Linked DNA regions of Drosophila melanogaster. The protein of the gene in region 1 interacts with the protein of each later gene in a pairwise test. Each region holds a gene or a part of one and is shown on either strand. Other genes may lie near its edges. The genes, in order: CG12645, Pkc98E, CG14634 and nompB.

The links.
Region 2: the proteins of CG12645 (region 1) and Pkc98E interact in a two-hybrid assay, tested with the Drosophila melanogaster proteins (one large-scale study listed by BioGRID).
Region 3: the proteins of CG12645 (region 1) and CG14634 interact in a two-hybrid assay, tested with the Drosophila melanogaster proteins (one large-scale study listed by BioGRID).
Region 4: the proteins of CG12645 (region 1) and nompB interact in a two-hybrid assay, tested with the Drosophila melanogaster proteins (one large-scale study listed by BioGRID).

The regions. Positions count from the first base shown.
Region 1 is NC_004354.4:10,151,865-10,155,528, reverse strand, and holds CG12645 (uncharacterized protein), read right to left. Parts: upstream 1,918-3,664; coding exon 1,584-1,917; intron 1,527-1,583; coding exon 1,379-1,526; intron 1,200-1,378; exon of another isoform or gene 1,145-1,199; coding exon 1,006-1,144; 3' UTR 520-1,005; downstream 1-519.
Region 2 is NT_033777.3:29,037,260-29,042,189, reverse strand, and holds the start of Pkc98E (protein C kinase 98E), read right to left. Parts: upstream 3,035-4,930; 5' UTR 2,826-3,034; intron 2,361-2,825; exon of another isoform or gene 2,118-2,360; intron 1,095-2,117; 5' UTR 919-1,094; coding exon 765-918; intron 591-764; coding exon 397-590; intron 324-396; coding exon 266-323; intron 201-265; coding exon 88-200; intron 24-87; coding exon 1-23. Other genes in the region: Slu7, read left to right, coding at 3,200-3,800, 3,864-4,092, 4,149-4,332, 4,397-4,930. UniProt on the Drosophila melanogaster protein: PKC is activated by diacylglycerol which in turn phosphorylates a range of cellular proteins. PKC also serves as the receptor for phorbol esters, a class of tumor promoters.
Region 3 is NC_004354.4:860,838-863,735, reverse strand, and holds CG14634 (uncharacterized protein), read right to left. Parts: upstream 1,129-2,898; 5' UTR 1,078-1,128; intron 1,001-1,077; 5' UTR 945-1,000; coding exon 663-944; 3' UTR 536-662; downstream 1-535.
Region 4 is NT_033779.5:21,586,383-21,591,444, forward strand, and holds the start of nompB (no mechanoreceptor potential B), read right to left. Parts: upstream 3,042-5,062; 5' UTR 2,974-3,041; coding exon 2,845-2,973; intron 2,792-2,844; coding exon 2,595-2,791; intron 1,037-2,594; coding exon 811-1,036; intron 760-810; coding exon of another isoform or gene 739-759; coding exon 18-738; intron 1-17.

The DNA.
Region 1 (3,664 bases):
CGCCAGCATCAGCAGTAGCAATAATAAACTGATGCGTGGACAAAGCGGCGTATACTTGATGCGATTGAGTTTTAGCTTCCACATTATTCCACCAGCTCGGCCATAATGCTCTTTTGGTCATTATTGTTGTTGGCGGCACCGTGAACCGACTAATTGTCGAGCTCTGTCCTTTTGTTTCTCGGCCCCGCAGCTGTGGCCTAGTCAATCCATCCATCCATAGCTGGGCTTTCAGTAACGGTTTTTGGCCCATTCGTCGAAGGCCATGTTGCGCTGAAGGCTGCAACGTACGAGGCGCTAATTGAATTTGCTGCCACCGCTGGCCAATTGCAGTACCAAAAATTGAACAAAGCCGCGCAAAGCACTGAAATAGGCAGAAACCTCGAAAACAAAAAAGCGCAACTGGAGGCCAAACAACTGCGGATGGTTCAAATTCTGGGGACACTCTTCTCGATTTCGGGTATATAAGTTCTTGGCAAAAGATTGCATTTGCCCTTTTGCCCAATTACATAATAGTTTCTTAGACATATTTATAATTTTATTGTTATATTTAAGTAATTGTATCTAAATTGAATACTCTCTTCTTTTTTTTGCAGGGTATCAAATAACGAACAGCATCCACAACAACCAGCACTCGTTGGCAGGATGTGCGAAACGGAGTGATGATGAGGCAATTTGTTTAGGCCAGTTATGCATCATTTGGGCGACAGGGCAGTTCAGTACAGAGCATGGCAATGGTAATCGGTGTATGGTGTCCGATGTTGAAAGGATTGTGGATTGTGGATTGCGGATTGAGGACGAAGGACGATGGGCTTAGGTAGGCAATTCGATTTGACGGCGCACAATTTCCGGTCGCGCCCGGCACTGCGTTACTCATTACAAGCGAATAAGCGCCAAGTCCTTGCGGTCAGAAGCGCGTGCCGCCCCACTCAGCTTTATTCGCACACACGGAAAACTTTCACAATTAGCGGCCGGATTCCGGCTGCGATCCTGCAGGATATTTCCGGACTACCGCCGCCGGCAGCAGCAGCAGCAGCAGCTCCTCGGATAATGTGCGCCCAGAAAGATCTCGCAGGCGGAGCAGTAATGATTCGTTGTCCGGCAGCCATTCCATAGATACGGAAACAGGCAAGCGCAGCAGCACCAACTGAAAACAAAAACATAGATACATATATACGGATATGAGTATATCAAAGTTCGAGGTATGTAAATCGAAAGTTACTTTATCTATTTCCATTATTTCATACGATTTTTGAAAGTTTACTCATCATTTTGTTCATATTTAGTGTTAAGTACTTGAAACTTAGCACTTCTGAAGCTAACAACGTTTTGGGTTAAAAGTTAGTTAAAATTTTCAAACTAATTTAAATACCCAACTCACCCAAAAGTGCACAAGCAGAGGGCCCAAAGGTTAGTCCGAGCATTAGGTGACCTCTTCAAACGGGTGACTCCCCGTTGACCACAAGCTGGGCACACGATGTCCATCGCCTGGCTACCCAGTTTGGGTTGCGGGCTTAGGATAAAGAAATCTGGCCAATACACAATTTCAAAATATGCAATCGAATGAGTGTTCAGTTCATAGTTACCATCGCACTTACTTCTCACTGGTGGCATTGCACGATGATCGATGCTATTGTTGTCCGCTAATCCTTCCGATTGTACGCTCACCTCGTCTTTCGTTTGGGACATCGGCATCGGCATCGGCATTTCCTCCACCCTGGACCTTAGATGTTGGGGTTCTGCAAAAAGGGTTCTTCGCCGATCGTTGGAATAATCCAAATTATTCTGAATCGTAAACGTTTGCATTGCATCATAGTAGGTCGGCGGTTCCGATGGCGACAAGGACATGGGTCGCTCTATCTGCAGATCCTGGCCGGGATCCTGGTCTTGGAACAACATGCGATGCTTCTCTTCGGCCATTCCAAACCCTTCTGTTGGGCCAGTTTCGCCCTACGATGGTTTTTATTCCTTGGCAAAAAAGAAACAACCAGCCAAAAACAGTTGTCGATGATAGTGAAACATTCTGGGCCAATTAACCAGCTGCTAGCGATATCAACGAGTCACCCCAATAGAAAACTCCACAGTTGGTCAAAAAGTGCTTGAAATGGAAATGGTCTAGCTGAATCACCTTTATTTCATCGTCGTTGGAGAATATTGTCAGCTTCCGTTTCATTTCCTGTTCATAACTTTTGCAATATGTGCTGCTGACCGCTTGCACTGGCAACACAAATTTTCAAATGCTCAAAAATACACGTAAATATTTTTACAAAAATTTCTTAAAATTATTTGAAGTGTATAAATATCTCTTTAAAACGAGTTGCATAGAATGTTATGAATCAAAATCTTATAGTGTTGCTATTTCTCGCATAGAGTTTTCCACAATGTATTCCTGTTTGCGTATTCATTTTTGTTTTTCTGTTTTCCTTCAAGTTTTTTCAATATTTTCCAACGACACGATGAGGATGGAAAAATGTGAATGAAATTCTGTTTGCCACTTTGCATTTAATTAACTTTATCGCATGCATGTAAATAGTATACAGGCGCAAATAAACTAAACAGGTATACGGCAAATTATAATGAAAACTTTCATTTGCATACGGATAACTGACATATCTGGATTAGGTAAAAAAATATACCTTTAGTTTATCCAAAAAAAAAAAAGGAACGTTCTTCTTTACATTGCTTAAACTAACATTTATCGTTGTCCGTTAAATGCCTGAACTTTCCTGATATTAAATTTGCCTGTTTTTTTTTTAAGGTCTTAAATTTTATTTATGAATTCCAGGGTGTGCCAACCTTTGATTTGCTTACTCCTGCTGTTGTTGTTCCGCCATCTGCCATTCAAATGGGAATCGGGTTTTTTTGGGATCGGGGCACTGAGAGCTGTCGCTGCATAAATTTGCAGTCCATTTCAAGTTGGCTCATCGCTTTGATGTTTGATTTATTGCACGCTGTTTGTGGGCCCAATGGGGGGGGGGGGGGGTGTGATAGGGGATTGAATAGGGGTCAAGGGGTTAAGGGGGGGTGGGGTCCGAGTGCCATGCCGTGGGCTTATCGGCCGACATGCCAGACAATTGTGAATAGCAACTGCAATTGAATTTGACAGCGGCGGAGTGAATGGGGACCAACTCGCGTATCAGGTGCTGACTTGGGTACGCAAATAAATGTATGAGGCGGGCAAATAAATCTGTAAAAGGGTTCGCATTCCATTATGGATCCTGACATTTGTCTATTTATGCATTCTAAAGGTCAGCTATCAGGGTTTAAAAATGGAGCTACATAAATAAGTTAGTTGTTAAAGGTTAACAGGGGCGTATCTTTATTATTGGATTATTTATTTATTTACATTTATTCCTGGCAGTTCATTTAGTTCATTAAATTCTTACATTCAAATTAAGAGCACTCATTTGGGCCACTCCTTGCTCGATAATCCCGACGATTGGCCTTCGTTTTTTGGGGGTCTTGGGATTTGGCTCAACATTCGTTCAACTGATTAAACTGTTAGCTTATTTTCGCACAGACCGCCTATAGCTCTCTCTCTCTCTCTCTCTCTCTCTCTCGCTCTCTCTAGCAGAAGCACCTTCTCTGTCGCACTGATTGCGGCTTTGGCTGAAAATGTGTGCAAATAATATTTCGTGTAATTGCAATTAGCGCCAAAAAGGTTTTC
Region 2 (4,930 bases), on another chromosome or scaffold:
GCCATGAACTTGTGCCCATTCACCTGGTTTCAAGCAAAGGAAACATATTAGTTACGCTCATTCTCAACTGGTTAAATGGGCACCAACCTGATGGACCCGACGACGCATGGCACCGCGACGTCGGTTGAATCCGGCGCGCTCTTTGAACTCCTTGTTGACGGCCACGGTGTGCTCCACCACGGCCTCGGCTTTGGCTTTATCTGAAATCAGATGGAATTGATCAGCATTCGCTGAACATTGTTCAAATCTTTATTTCGCTACGTACCCGTGCGATTCTTTAGCTCAATGATGACGTGAATCTTGCCTTGCGGCTCCAAGTTAACCTGAGAGGTTTCAAGAAGTAAAAGTAAGTATAAGTATTCCTAGAGATTTAGCTACTATATGTTCGAAACCCACCCATAGATCCTGCACAGCCGTCTCGCTCTGCATGAGGTCCTCGAAGGAGATGATGCAGTTGGCCACAAAGTCATCCGGCGGCAGAGCAGCATCATGAAAGACGGTCAAGTTGATGTTGCTCACATTGGTCACGTCGTGGACGAACTGCTCGTTCCAAACAGGATCGAATGTCTTTGGCCGCGTGGTGGCTCGATCTGTGCGTAACAAAATAACCAGATAATGAAATAATAAATAAAGTTAGCTGCCAAATCCCATTTAAGTATGCAACACTTTAGCTAGGTAACTAACATTTGTAACTATCTAACTGACTTTTGTTTCCCAACCATATTTGAATATTTGAGCTGAAATCGAAGTGGGAGGACACTCACCGAAGTGACTCTCGTCGACATCTATGGAGACATAGGGGTCGATGAGCTGCTCGTCGGCCAGTTTGCCGAAGGTGAGATTGTGGCGCTTCTGGAAGTCTGTGGGCCGCAGGCCACTCGCCTCGCACACCTTGATCTGCAGCTTGCCCGTGAACATGGTCGTGCGATCGGTGAATGTCCCGTTCGGCTGCACTAGATCCTATTGCTGGTCGTGATCCTGTTCGTGATCCGGCTGCTCCTCGGTCCTCCGTGCGATGTCCTTGCGTGTCTGTTTGGGGAGCAGCGGTGGACCACTCGGCTTGTGGTGGTGTGCGGCTGGCTGATGATCCTGATCTGCAATCGGAGGAAGAGCAATTCGGGATGGGTTAATCAATCGCCTGACTGCCATTCGCATCTTTCGCTGTGGGCCAATGTTGGCGTAGGTCATTGACACTCGTGAATGGCGTATGCGGTATACTCGATTCACTCCCAAGGTCGATTAAGCCTCGCATCGATGGAATTTGTGCACACACATATCTACGCCCACAGTAGCGGTCAAAATAGTAATGACATGTTAAAGGAATTTGCACCATATATATTTATTTATTTCCTTAACGATGCGTATTAACTATTATATAGCATTTATTAAAAAAATTCAAATGTGATGTATATTCAGATAATAATATTAATAATTTCGCTACTATGATTCAGTATGTTACTGACTTATTCTGGGTTTAATTGAAAGGATTCATGATTCACAGAAAAAAATGTACATTCATTTTTGCAAAACGAAAATCTGTAGCTTACAAAAATATCAATTCTTTTCATCTTTTACTATTCAACACTACTATTTTGGCTGCCACTGTGTTTCAGCCCGTTTGTGTGTGTACATTAGGCAATCGCTCAAACGACAACAGTCCGTGGAACAAAAGTCGAAAATAGTGCGCGACCATCATCTGCTATGGTAATATTTCTAGCGTATAAATCATTCCAAGGAGTGCAACTTTGTTTATTTCGCAATTCCACAGATTGTTGTTTAGTGTACACTAGTCTCGCCACTAGTCTAATGCGCATCCAATTGGGATATAACGCGTTTTCTAATTGGCAATTTGGTGGGAACAAGTACATACTTAGTTGCCCTTTTTCTTCGCACACAATCTTGGGTACTTTCAGTGTCGTTTAGCTTTGATTACATATGTATATTGCCATTGCTTGCTCACTTTTTTATGCAAATTCTTTGTGTTCATGTATGGCAAATATACTCACACTTTCACACACACATACACACGCAGTCAGCTTTTTTCCACAGATTAAACAACAAAGAGAGAACAACAAGAATTTCTAATGATGCCTCTCACTTGCACTTCTGCCACCCACCAATACACGCGCGTCTCACGCCCACTCCAATTGGAAACACCTGACGAAACGCCAATAAGTGCGCTCAATTAACTAAACTAACCCGTCCAATTGGAAAATTTGTAATTTTCTAATTGGTGAAAACGAAGGTCTTCCAGCTGGCAGAGTTGCCGTACTGTCCACCTGTCAGCTTGACACTAACGAACGCAGTGTTGGTAAACATACGAAATGCGCACTATGTTCGTAGTTCAAATATTATATTTCATTGTTTTTTAAATTGTATGCTAACCACTCCGCTTGGCTATGAGATACACGTTTCGCTGACATTTTTCGCTTCACAATCAAGCACCACACACGGAGTAATATTTAGAAAGTCCCATCGATGGATTTTATATACATATACCACTCTCTTATTTTCTTGCTCTCTCTACTGTTGGTATATAGAAAATGTTTAACGTTTCAAATGAAAAGTTATTGAAACGCTTCCTTACAATGTTTATGTGAAATGGGTATGCACGACACCAAATAGGCAGAAAATATTGCAATCAACAATGAAACAAAAAGAATAAAATAATTCATATGCGCGCGCAGGAACTTGTATATCAGAGAAAAAGTGTTCAGCTATGTGTGCGAAAAAATTAAGGATGCCTTCACACTAGAGCACACACACACACACGCTCGACATATGTATGCGCTTATACACACACGCACGCACACAGTTAAACGCACCCGTTTGCACAGCGTTATAAATTTATTGGTTTTCCCAGGCAATTTCCTTGGTTTTCCAACGAATTCGAACAGTTTCACAAAATCACAGTGTCCACCATTTTCCGTTGCATTGCTGGGTAGTTTTCTTATTGGCTTTAAAACTGTTTCGCGTATTACTATTGATAAAAATGTTCACTTCACTCCAATTCTTATTGGAAAAACGTTAGCGATGTGCCAAGGTGGGCGATACATATCGTGGGGGTGCTACAGATTGTCCAACACTTTCGCTGTTAAGCCAAGTGCTTCTCTGCTTGCCAACACTTTTCGATAACCGATAACATAAAAGAGAAATAAATATTACAACTAATATTATCTAGTAAATAAAATCAGGCAATATGAGCTCGGGGCCCATGCGCACGCCGGTCTCGCAGATCATTCTGAGCAAGCACGACCAGGATGCCGAGGAGGAACCCAAGAAGAAGTCCCGTGAGGACTGGCGCAAGGCCAAGGAGCTGGAGGAGGCTCGAAAAGCGGGAACAGCTCCGGCCGCCGTCGACGAGGAGGGTCGCGACATAAATCCCCACATTCCGCAGTACATATCGAATGCACCATGGTATTACGGATCGGCTGGGCCCACTCTCAAGCATCAGCGACCGCAGCACGAGGACGAGCAAGGACAGCTGGACAAGAGGGCGCCCAAAGGACTTAACACCGCACGCATCATTACCAAGTTCCGCAAGGGAGCCTGCGAGAACTGTGGCGCCGTCACACACAAACGAAAGGACTGCCTGGAGCGGCCGCGGAAAGTCCAAGCCAAGTACGCTGAATCCATCGTCGTGCACGACGAGCATTTGGTCAATGAAGCGGCGGTGAACTATGACGAGAAACGAGATCGCTGGAGTAGTTACGATCCGGCCAATCACAGAGAGATCATTGAGGAGTACGAAAAGGTGGAAGAGGCCAAGCGACAACTTAAAGCAGAGAAGCTGAAAAATGGTAGGTAAAAGTGAATTCAGAGTGCTTATAGTTGAATTAATATCATTCGCATGTACCCCTTAGATCCCGATGCTGAAATATCCGATGAGGAAGGCAACGAGGACAAATATGTGGACGAAGTGGACATGCCCGGCACAAAAGTGGACTCCAAACAGCGAATTACAGTGCGCAACTTGCGTATCCGCGAGGATACGGCGAAGTACCTGAGGAACTTGGATCCCAACTCGGCCTACTATGATCCCAAGACGCGCTCCATGCGTGACAATCCCAATCCTGCTGTCCCCGAAGAGGAGTGAGTAACAAAAAGTTGCACATATAAAGAAATTTCTTAACTACTCATTCTTGCAGAGCTGAGTTTGCTGGCGAGAACTTTGTACGCTTTTCTGGAGACACTACAGCCCAAGCCACCGCCCAGTTGTTTGCCTGGGAAGCTCATGGCAAGGGGGTTGATGTGCATCTGCTAGCGGAGCCCACTAAGTTGGAGCTGCTTCAGAAGGAGTACGAGCAGAAGAAGGAACAGTTCAAGTCAAGTGTAAGTAATTGAAAATGGAAATTTCTTGGAAACATTACTATATCCATTTCCTTTATTTTTCCAGACCAAAACACACATTGTGGAGAAATATGGTGGCGAAGAGCATCTACAGGTTCCACCAAAGTCGCTATTGCTGGCGCAGACCGAGGAGTACATCGAGTACTCTCGCAGCGGCAAGGTTATCAAGGGCGTGGAGAAACCGAAAGCGCGCAGTATCTACGAGGAGGATGTGTATATCAACAATCACACAACAGTTTGGGGCAGTTTCTGGAACGCCGGACGCTGGGGTTACAAGTGCTGCAAGTCCTTCATCAAGAACTCCTACTGCGTGGGCATGCAGGAGCCAGAGGGCTACTCGGAACATCATTCTACGAGCTCCACTGCAGCGGCTACTACAGAACCTGCAGCTCAAAGCCAATTCAAGGTACCAGAAGTGCCACCTGAAAGGCCCACTTCCGAAGTGGACTCAGCATCGAGTTCGGAACCCTCCTCATCCGAAGAGGAGGAGGTAAAACCTGAGAAGAAGAAGACCAAGAAGAAGTCGAAGAAGCGCGAGAAGAAAAAGAAGGCTAAGGAGCAGCGAAAACAAAAAGGCAAG
Region 3 (2,898 bases), 9.3 Mb from region 1:
CCTGCAGACGTATTCGGGTCCTTAAACTCCCGCCCGAAGGCTGTGCAAATTTGTTCGCAGGCGTCACAGGCTGCTCCTGGACTGCATATCCTGGAAGCTAGCTCTCTTCTGCTGTGTGTCCTGTGCGTCCTGTGTGTTAATGATCATCATGAATATTCTGGCATTTGTTTGTTTGCTTGCGCCAGTTTGCTTAGCCAAAATGTTAATATACGCCCAGCCCAAACAGAATTTAACCCTGCGGCACTCGTACGGGAAAACGGCAAAGAGGTCCTGCTAAATATTTGATTAACTTTCCTATGTTCAGTGTGTGTGCGAAATCAACTTAATTAAAGTTAAACAAGCAGCTAATCAAATTTTTATTACACAGTCTTAACCACAAGAATCCTTTACCTCTGTCTCCCGCAAAACGTGGAGTAATTTCATTTTAAAAATGCATACTCCAACAGGGGCTACGTGCGACTCGCGGAGGCGAAAAAGAATTGTCTTCTTGTGCTTTTGGTTTTTGTGGCCAGAGAAAAGAAATAATAGGTACACTCTTTGTGAGAACTAAAAACAGAGTCGGTAGTTTCATTAAATATAAGAGTTTTTGACAAACATCTTTGTAAGTCGTACATTTATGTAGTGCAGCGATACGCTAATCAATTCTGCTAAGATACTATGGATTAGTAATCCTCGATGGAGTCCCTTTTGGGCCACCAGACTTCGCCGTCCCAGGAGCTCAAGGTGCTAGACGTGACTATTCGGTGGGGCAGTGACACTGAACTGGGGCTCATGCTGGGTAGCGATGGCTGGCTGATGGTCACCTGGTTGAAGTAGCCTGGCTCCGTGGATATCACGTTCCCCAGGACGTCCGGCTGGTGCTGCACTTGCCGCTGCTTTCCATTCTTTTGGCAAGGCTTCGATGAGGAGCAGCCGCAGCAGCCAAGTGGGAAGAGAAAGCACATATTTCTGTGGCTAGAAATAATAAGTAGAAGTGCCGAAGATGGGGGAATGTGCCAGGCTGATTTCGTCAGCAGTCAATAAAAGAATTTCCAGGCCAAAGTCAAGTTACCCATCACCTGATGGTTTAGTTCCCACCTGTTAGGGCCCTTTTATTTATGTTGTGCCGCCCGCAGCTTTTAGCTGAAAGGAGAGCTTCCCACTGAGGCAGTGCAACCCAGAGCTGTCTGCTTTTATAGCCGGCGGGTTTGTTGTGGGTACAGTTGTGTTCCCCGGAATCGGACTAGACTGGTGCCCCCCAACAATTGTTTTCGGAGACTCCCATTATGCAAAATGGTGTCACTTATGTTAATTTCACAAATGCCCCGCACTCCAATCAGTATATAGTGCACGCTATCAGGACTATCGGGTTTCGGCGGTTGGAGGGGAGGGAAAAACGGCAGCCGACGACTACCTATTGTATTACCAATTTGCGAATGCAAATCAGGCGCAGAGCGCGGGTTTCACACCAGTTTCGTATTGAATTTAAAGAGTGAGCCATGCGACACTCACATCAAAGCCGATGATGGTGGCTGTGAAAGACGAGATGGACGTGTAGCGAGGAGATCTTCGATGCCAATGCCAGCGCAATGCCATAAGCCATCCAGCACCTGCTTCGGCTGAAGGTGTTCATTTGAACGGATGCTGAACTTCTGCGAAGGGAGGTGGCAAGCGGAGACCCCGCAATGGGACACTCCACGGTCTGCATTTAGAAAAAAAATTCGCTGATCCTCAAGGCACTGCGCTTGGGCTAAAAGACCAACAGCATGTTCTACGGTCTCCAGAAGTCCAGAGAACCTTCTATATGGCCAGCTCCTCAGATGAGAGGGTGAGTTTTCTATGGTCTGCTGGGGTCTGTTTGCTTATCCGACTTGGCAAAAATGCTGCGACCAGCGTCCTCCGTCTCTAACAACTTCAATTTCAATTAGCAGTGCATACTTTCCAAGGGTCGACGACCAAAAAGTTTCTGCACTAATGAGTTTTGTAATTATACGAAAGTTGAAACTGAATACAAAAGCCGAAAAGAACAACCCCATCCCCTTTACTTTGCTTTACATTTATACTTTTATGAATGATTTACGTGGGCAAAGTATTTGTACGGCGATAACAACCCACAGGATGCGGGGTAATTGGTGAAATTGGTGAAAGTGCCGAAAGGGAAAGCAGTTGCCATGATGTCACACAAGTCACAGCGGATTTCCTGTTTAATTCACTTCATTCTAAGTGAAGCGATACACATGTTTCTCTTGACTTAAGCCAAATAAATTTAATGTACACAAAATCCCGTGAAAAAAGTTGCGAATCTCTAATATCAAGAGTACAGCCTTTTCAATCTAAATGTTTACTCTACTCACTTTTCCGCATTTCCCCGAATTCGCGAATATGGCAAACTGGAAAAATATCAATGTCATTTGCAGGCCCATAACGGAAAAACGCAGAGTAAGGCTAAAAGGGGAAAATAAACCAGAAAAACGTACGGAAGGGGGGGGGGGGGTTGGGGTGAACTGACTGGCATTGTTACTCGTGTAATTCTAAAAGTGATGTGTCTGTTCTGGTGGGAGTTTCGTTCCCATGGCCCTGGATTTCTAGGACTGTGCATTGGGGCTCGTCCTTCTCACATGGTCAACCCCATCATTGCGGTTTCAGAACTGTATATTTCGAAGTTCCCATTTGCAGTGTTCGTTTATCTGCGCATGTGTGTGTGTGTGTTTGGGGTGCTTATGGAGATGGGACTTGTTCCGACTTGAGATGAACGAAAAAACGTGATCTTTTCCGGAAGCTCGGAAAGAGTTTGCCCAGCTTAAAACTTCGCTATAAATTTGTTATAGCGAAGAAAGCAGGACCCGGTTAAATCTTTGCTACACAAGCTATTGGTTATGAATAGGGTATCTGCTAGTTCCATAATCTCCTTTGGACCCG
Region 4 (5,062 bases), on another chromosome or scaffold:
ATCTCAGTCGTACTCACCATCATTATAGTTATCTTCGATAAAAGGTGATATTAAGTCTACAATCATTGTAATAGATCGTTTAACGGCATTACGACGTTCATTTCTATATACGGCCAGCTCGTCTTTCTTAAGTGCTTGGACAACATAACGATGTTTCACTGTGGCTGCAAACTTTACGGTCTCGTTCAGTTTACCGCCACCTTCTGCCTTAATAACCGAGCCCGTGACTGGTTCGTTGTTTAAAGACTGGTACCCGTCGGTTTCGCCAATTTGTTGAATCGGCTCAGCCTGCTGTTGAAGTTTAATGATATTCGTCTCACTCTCCATATCCGATTCTATTGCTTCGGTTTGGACATCACAAAGTCTCCGAAAGGCCAACTTTACTTTCTCCACATCGCCCAAGGCGAAGTAGCAGAGTAAGAGGTGAATGCTACTTCTAATGTTTGCCCGCTCCGTCATGATGAACTCAAAGCTAGAAGCAGCATCTGAATAAGAGCCCATGCGAATAAAAAGGATTCCAATGTTTTCACGGATCTTTAGCCTTAACTGACTTAAGCTCTTTGGTACAGAATCAAGGGCCATGCGGTACATTTTAACCGCCTTTTGGTAAATACCCATGCTGTAGTAGATGTTACCCATATTTAGTTTTAGCTGATTGACGTGTGGAAACATCTTGTTTTTGGCCATAATGCTGTAGGTATTGAGGGCTTCGATGTGCATCTCACTCCGTTCGTATTGCTCCGCGAGATTAAAAAAAACCTATAGTCCATATATATTAAAGTTTTAAATTATCCTTCTAGTCGTGCTTACCGCATATGTCAAATCGAAGTTGTGATAAACATTTTCACCGTGCTGGTCTCGAAATTGGTGTAATGTTCTATCCAATGAGAATGCTTCTTTGGCTTTACTCAATGCCTCGGCCAATTTTGTATCCAGGTTCAATAATTTATTGGGTGAGCCTTGCCAGGCCAAAACTATAGATGACTCCAAGAGCTTCACAATTTTTTCCTCTAGATTTTTATACTTCATTTGTGGGCTATAATTTGAATTATGTAAAACGTAATATAAGTTGGTTAGTATTCAGACTTTGGTTAACTCGCTACATAATAATCGACTAAAAGGATCAGATCATTGCTAGTTCCTGATAAGCTTGGAAATGCTTAAGACTTTTCCTTGTTGTTTTGTAAAATTTACAGAGAGAAGAATGAAAAAAGACAGAATTAAAATAACATTTTTAAATTCCACTATGTTTAAAAATTATGTTATGTTAAAAAATTCATAATTATTTACACACAGCTTTTTTAATTCATTTTTGCCTTTTTTATTGAATTTAAACGAAATATTTTATATGGAATATGAGCAATGGAAGTACCGCCTGATTTATGTCTTTCAAGAACTTGGTTGGTACTCGGCCCTTGTGGCATGGAGCATTGCCCTGCTGCAAGATCCAGTCATTCTTGGAGAACAGTCTATTTCCTGAGGTCAATGCGTGCTCATTTAAGATATGGAGGTATCCTGTTTGATTTACTGTACCCTCTATCGGTACCATGTCTCCAAACCCATAGTAGCTTAAACAGCCCCAGAACATCACCGTGACACCACCAAACCGATTGATTGGCTGAACGGCATTACCCTTTAGTTGTATTGGGAAATGCATAAATTGCTTGCTAAAGGATCCCTGAAACTGAAACGCAACTTCATCAGTCCATAAAATATCAAACCAGAATTCGAGAGGCTTCTCTTTTTACTCCAAGGCAAATGCCAGACGATTTTCCTTGTTTCTTGGGGTAATATTAAATACTGCACGAATAACATAGGAGTTGATGTCAACTTCCTTCATTCTGCGACGCAGTGTACTATCGCTAATATGTTCTCTAACTAAATTTTTCGATGCTGCGGCAATTTTAACGGGACTTATGGTGGGATTATATAGTACAACTCCTATAATGTGTCTGCAGTCTCTTGGGTTCAATGCAACTTTTCGGTTAGTTCTCTTTTTATTTTCCAAAATTCCCAATCCAATGTCCTTTTTTTTTACCTAATTGTACACAGTTTTACGTGATATTTTGTATAACTCAGCTAATTTGGATGCAGAAGTACCAGCCTTAATTTTAGTGACAATCTCGGCTCGATGCTCAACTGATAGCTCCTTTGTTTTTGCCATTTTACAAATTTAATGCTTAGTTTTATCTATTAACATAACTGTTAACAGTTAGTTTAAGTTCCAATTAAGCGATCAACATCAACTAGAACTTTACTAGACTAATCTTCAATTTGCACTGTGCAAATAATTTTGAAGCTTAAAAATTGTGTGTAAATACTTCTGACAACAGACAAGTTTAATGCTTCTATTTTTAGCCCATGAACAGTTATTTTTTCCACTTCTTGACAATTGACAACAGAAAAAAAGCACGTTGTGTAAATACTTTTGACCACCTCTGTATGCTTGTAAGTTTATAAGGTGCAAGTGAATAAATACATGAATATAGATTCAGTATACCTTTAACTTCAGTACCTTTCTATTTATTTTTTTTTTACGATTTTTGATAACCCCTTTGATGCAACCGTCCTCTAAAAATAATTTTCTTACTTACTTTACATCCTTTATGGCATCCACAGCGGCTCTTGACGAGAGCGTTTGTTGCTTCGCCTTCTCCAGGAAAAATTGTTCGAACCTTTGATGAGCAGACTCGCAATTAGCAGCGTAGCCCACAGCCCGGACTGCTGTTGATGGTCTTGCAAGACCTGATTTATCGCCTCCTGTTGCCCGACTGCTGGCCAGATTGCCGCGCTGAATTACAGAAATTACACAGCGTTTTAAATTTTTTTTTTTTCAAAACTCACTGAAAAAAGCTGTGAAGTGGGGGGTCTGGGTCTGCCCGCCGCCGTGGGTGGGGGAGGCGGAACCGCTTCATGTTCGGAAACAGGCTCCGGTAATCTTTGCGTTCCGTTAGCAGTTATTTGAGAAGTCATTTTTGTCTCACCGCACTACACGCGTATAATAAGGTTCTCAATCAATATGAACGGTTTTGGGGGTTGGTCTTTGTTTTGGTTGAGTTGCCTTGGTGATCACGTATAAGCAGCACATGCGTAAAAGAGGTGAATAAATACCAATTAAATGTATAATGTAAGAAGGTTGCGGTATTTATTAAACCAAATCATTTTGGTTTATTTTATCATTTTATACTAAGACATTTCTATAAAAGTTTGAATAAGTTTAGTTAATTGTTATCTGATTTAATATAAAACATAAAACCCAATTTCAATTGTTAAAATATTATTATCAGTCGGAAACGCTTCCTTCTGTCTGTTACATACTTTTCAACGAATCTAGTATACCCTTTTACTCTACGAGAAACGGGTATGGACCATACCGTATGGTTTACCTCCACCTTCTGCGCTTATAACCGAGCTCGTGTCTTGTTCGTTGTCTGGTGCACGTCGATTTCGCCACATTGTTGAATCGGCTCAGCCTGCTGTTGAAGTTTAATGATATTCGTCTCACTCTCCATATCCGATTCTATTGCTTCGGTTTGGACATCACAAAGTCTCCGAAAGGCTAACTTTACTTTCTCCACATCGCCCAAGGCGAAGTAGCAGAGTAAGAGGTGAATGCTACTTCTAATGTTTGCCCGCTCCGTCATGATGAACTCAAAGCTAGAAGCAGCATCTGAATAAGAGCCCATGCGAATAAAAAGGATTCCAATGTTTTCACGGATCTTTAGCCTTAACTGACTTAAGCTCTTTGGTACAGAATCAAGGGCCATGCGGTACATTTTAACCGCCTTTTGGTAAATACCCATGCTGTAGTAGATGTTACCCATATTTAGTTTTAGCTGATTGACGTGTGGAAACATCTTGTTTTTGGCCATAATGCTGTAGGTATTGAGGGCTTCGATGTGCATCTCACTCCGTTCGTATTGCTCCGCGAGATTAAAAAAAACCTATAGTCCATATATATTAAAGTTTTAAATTATCCTTCTAGTCGTGCTTACCGCATATGTCAAATCGAAGTTGTGATAAACATTTTCACCGTGCTGGTCTCGAAATTGGTGTAATGTTCTATCCAATGAGAATGCTTCTTTGGCTTTACTCAATGCCTCGGCCAATTTTGTATCCAGGTTCAATAATTTATTGGGTGAGCGTTGCCAGGCCAAAACTATAGATGACTCCAAGAGCTTCACAATTTTTTCCTCTAGATTTTTATACATTATTTGTGGTCTATAGTTTGTATTATGTAAAACGTAATATAAGTTGGCTAGTATTCAGACTTTGGTTAACTCGCTACATAATAATCGACTAAAAGGCAGGAGTAGATCATTGCTTGTTCCTGATAAGCTTGGAAATGCTTAAGACTTTATATACATACATATATGCTCGAATATAGCATTCTCCCTTGTTTTTTTTTTTGTAGAGTTTACAGAGAGAAGAATGAAAAAAGACAGAATAAAAAGACAGTTTTAAAGCCCACTTTATGTTTAAAATTTTTCCAATAAAATAAATATAAATTTCTTTAGTACACTCAGGGGTATCATTCGGGATTTGACCCAAACATTAAGAGCAAGACACCTACACATTGCTGACGTATCACAATCACAACTACATCAAATATTGTTAATTTCAATTTTCAAAATTTCAATATTTGGAAGCAAACTAGCGCTGCGGGTTTGTCTCTAGAAAATTCATGCTTAATCCTGAGATCTCCACGCTCATACGGACAGACAGACAGACGGACATTACTCGGCTATTGATCCTGATCAAGAATACAGATACATGTACATTATAATGTCGGAAACGCTTCATTCTTCCTGTTACATACTTTTCAACGAATCTAGTAGTTACTCTACGATAAACGGGTATAAAAACTCCTATTTATTGAAGTACAAGAGAAAACGCTTCCGGCCTGTAGACAGTAAATAAAGAATAAAATTATTTAATTTTTTTTTATAGACTTTATTAACCCCTTTGTCACCTTGGTCGTTATTAATTCAGCCCTTTCAGGAGCGCCGGCTAACAAAAGTTAGCTGTAACAAAACAATAAAACAAATATAACAATTAACAA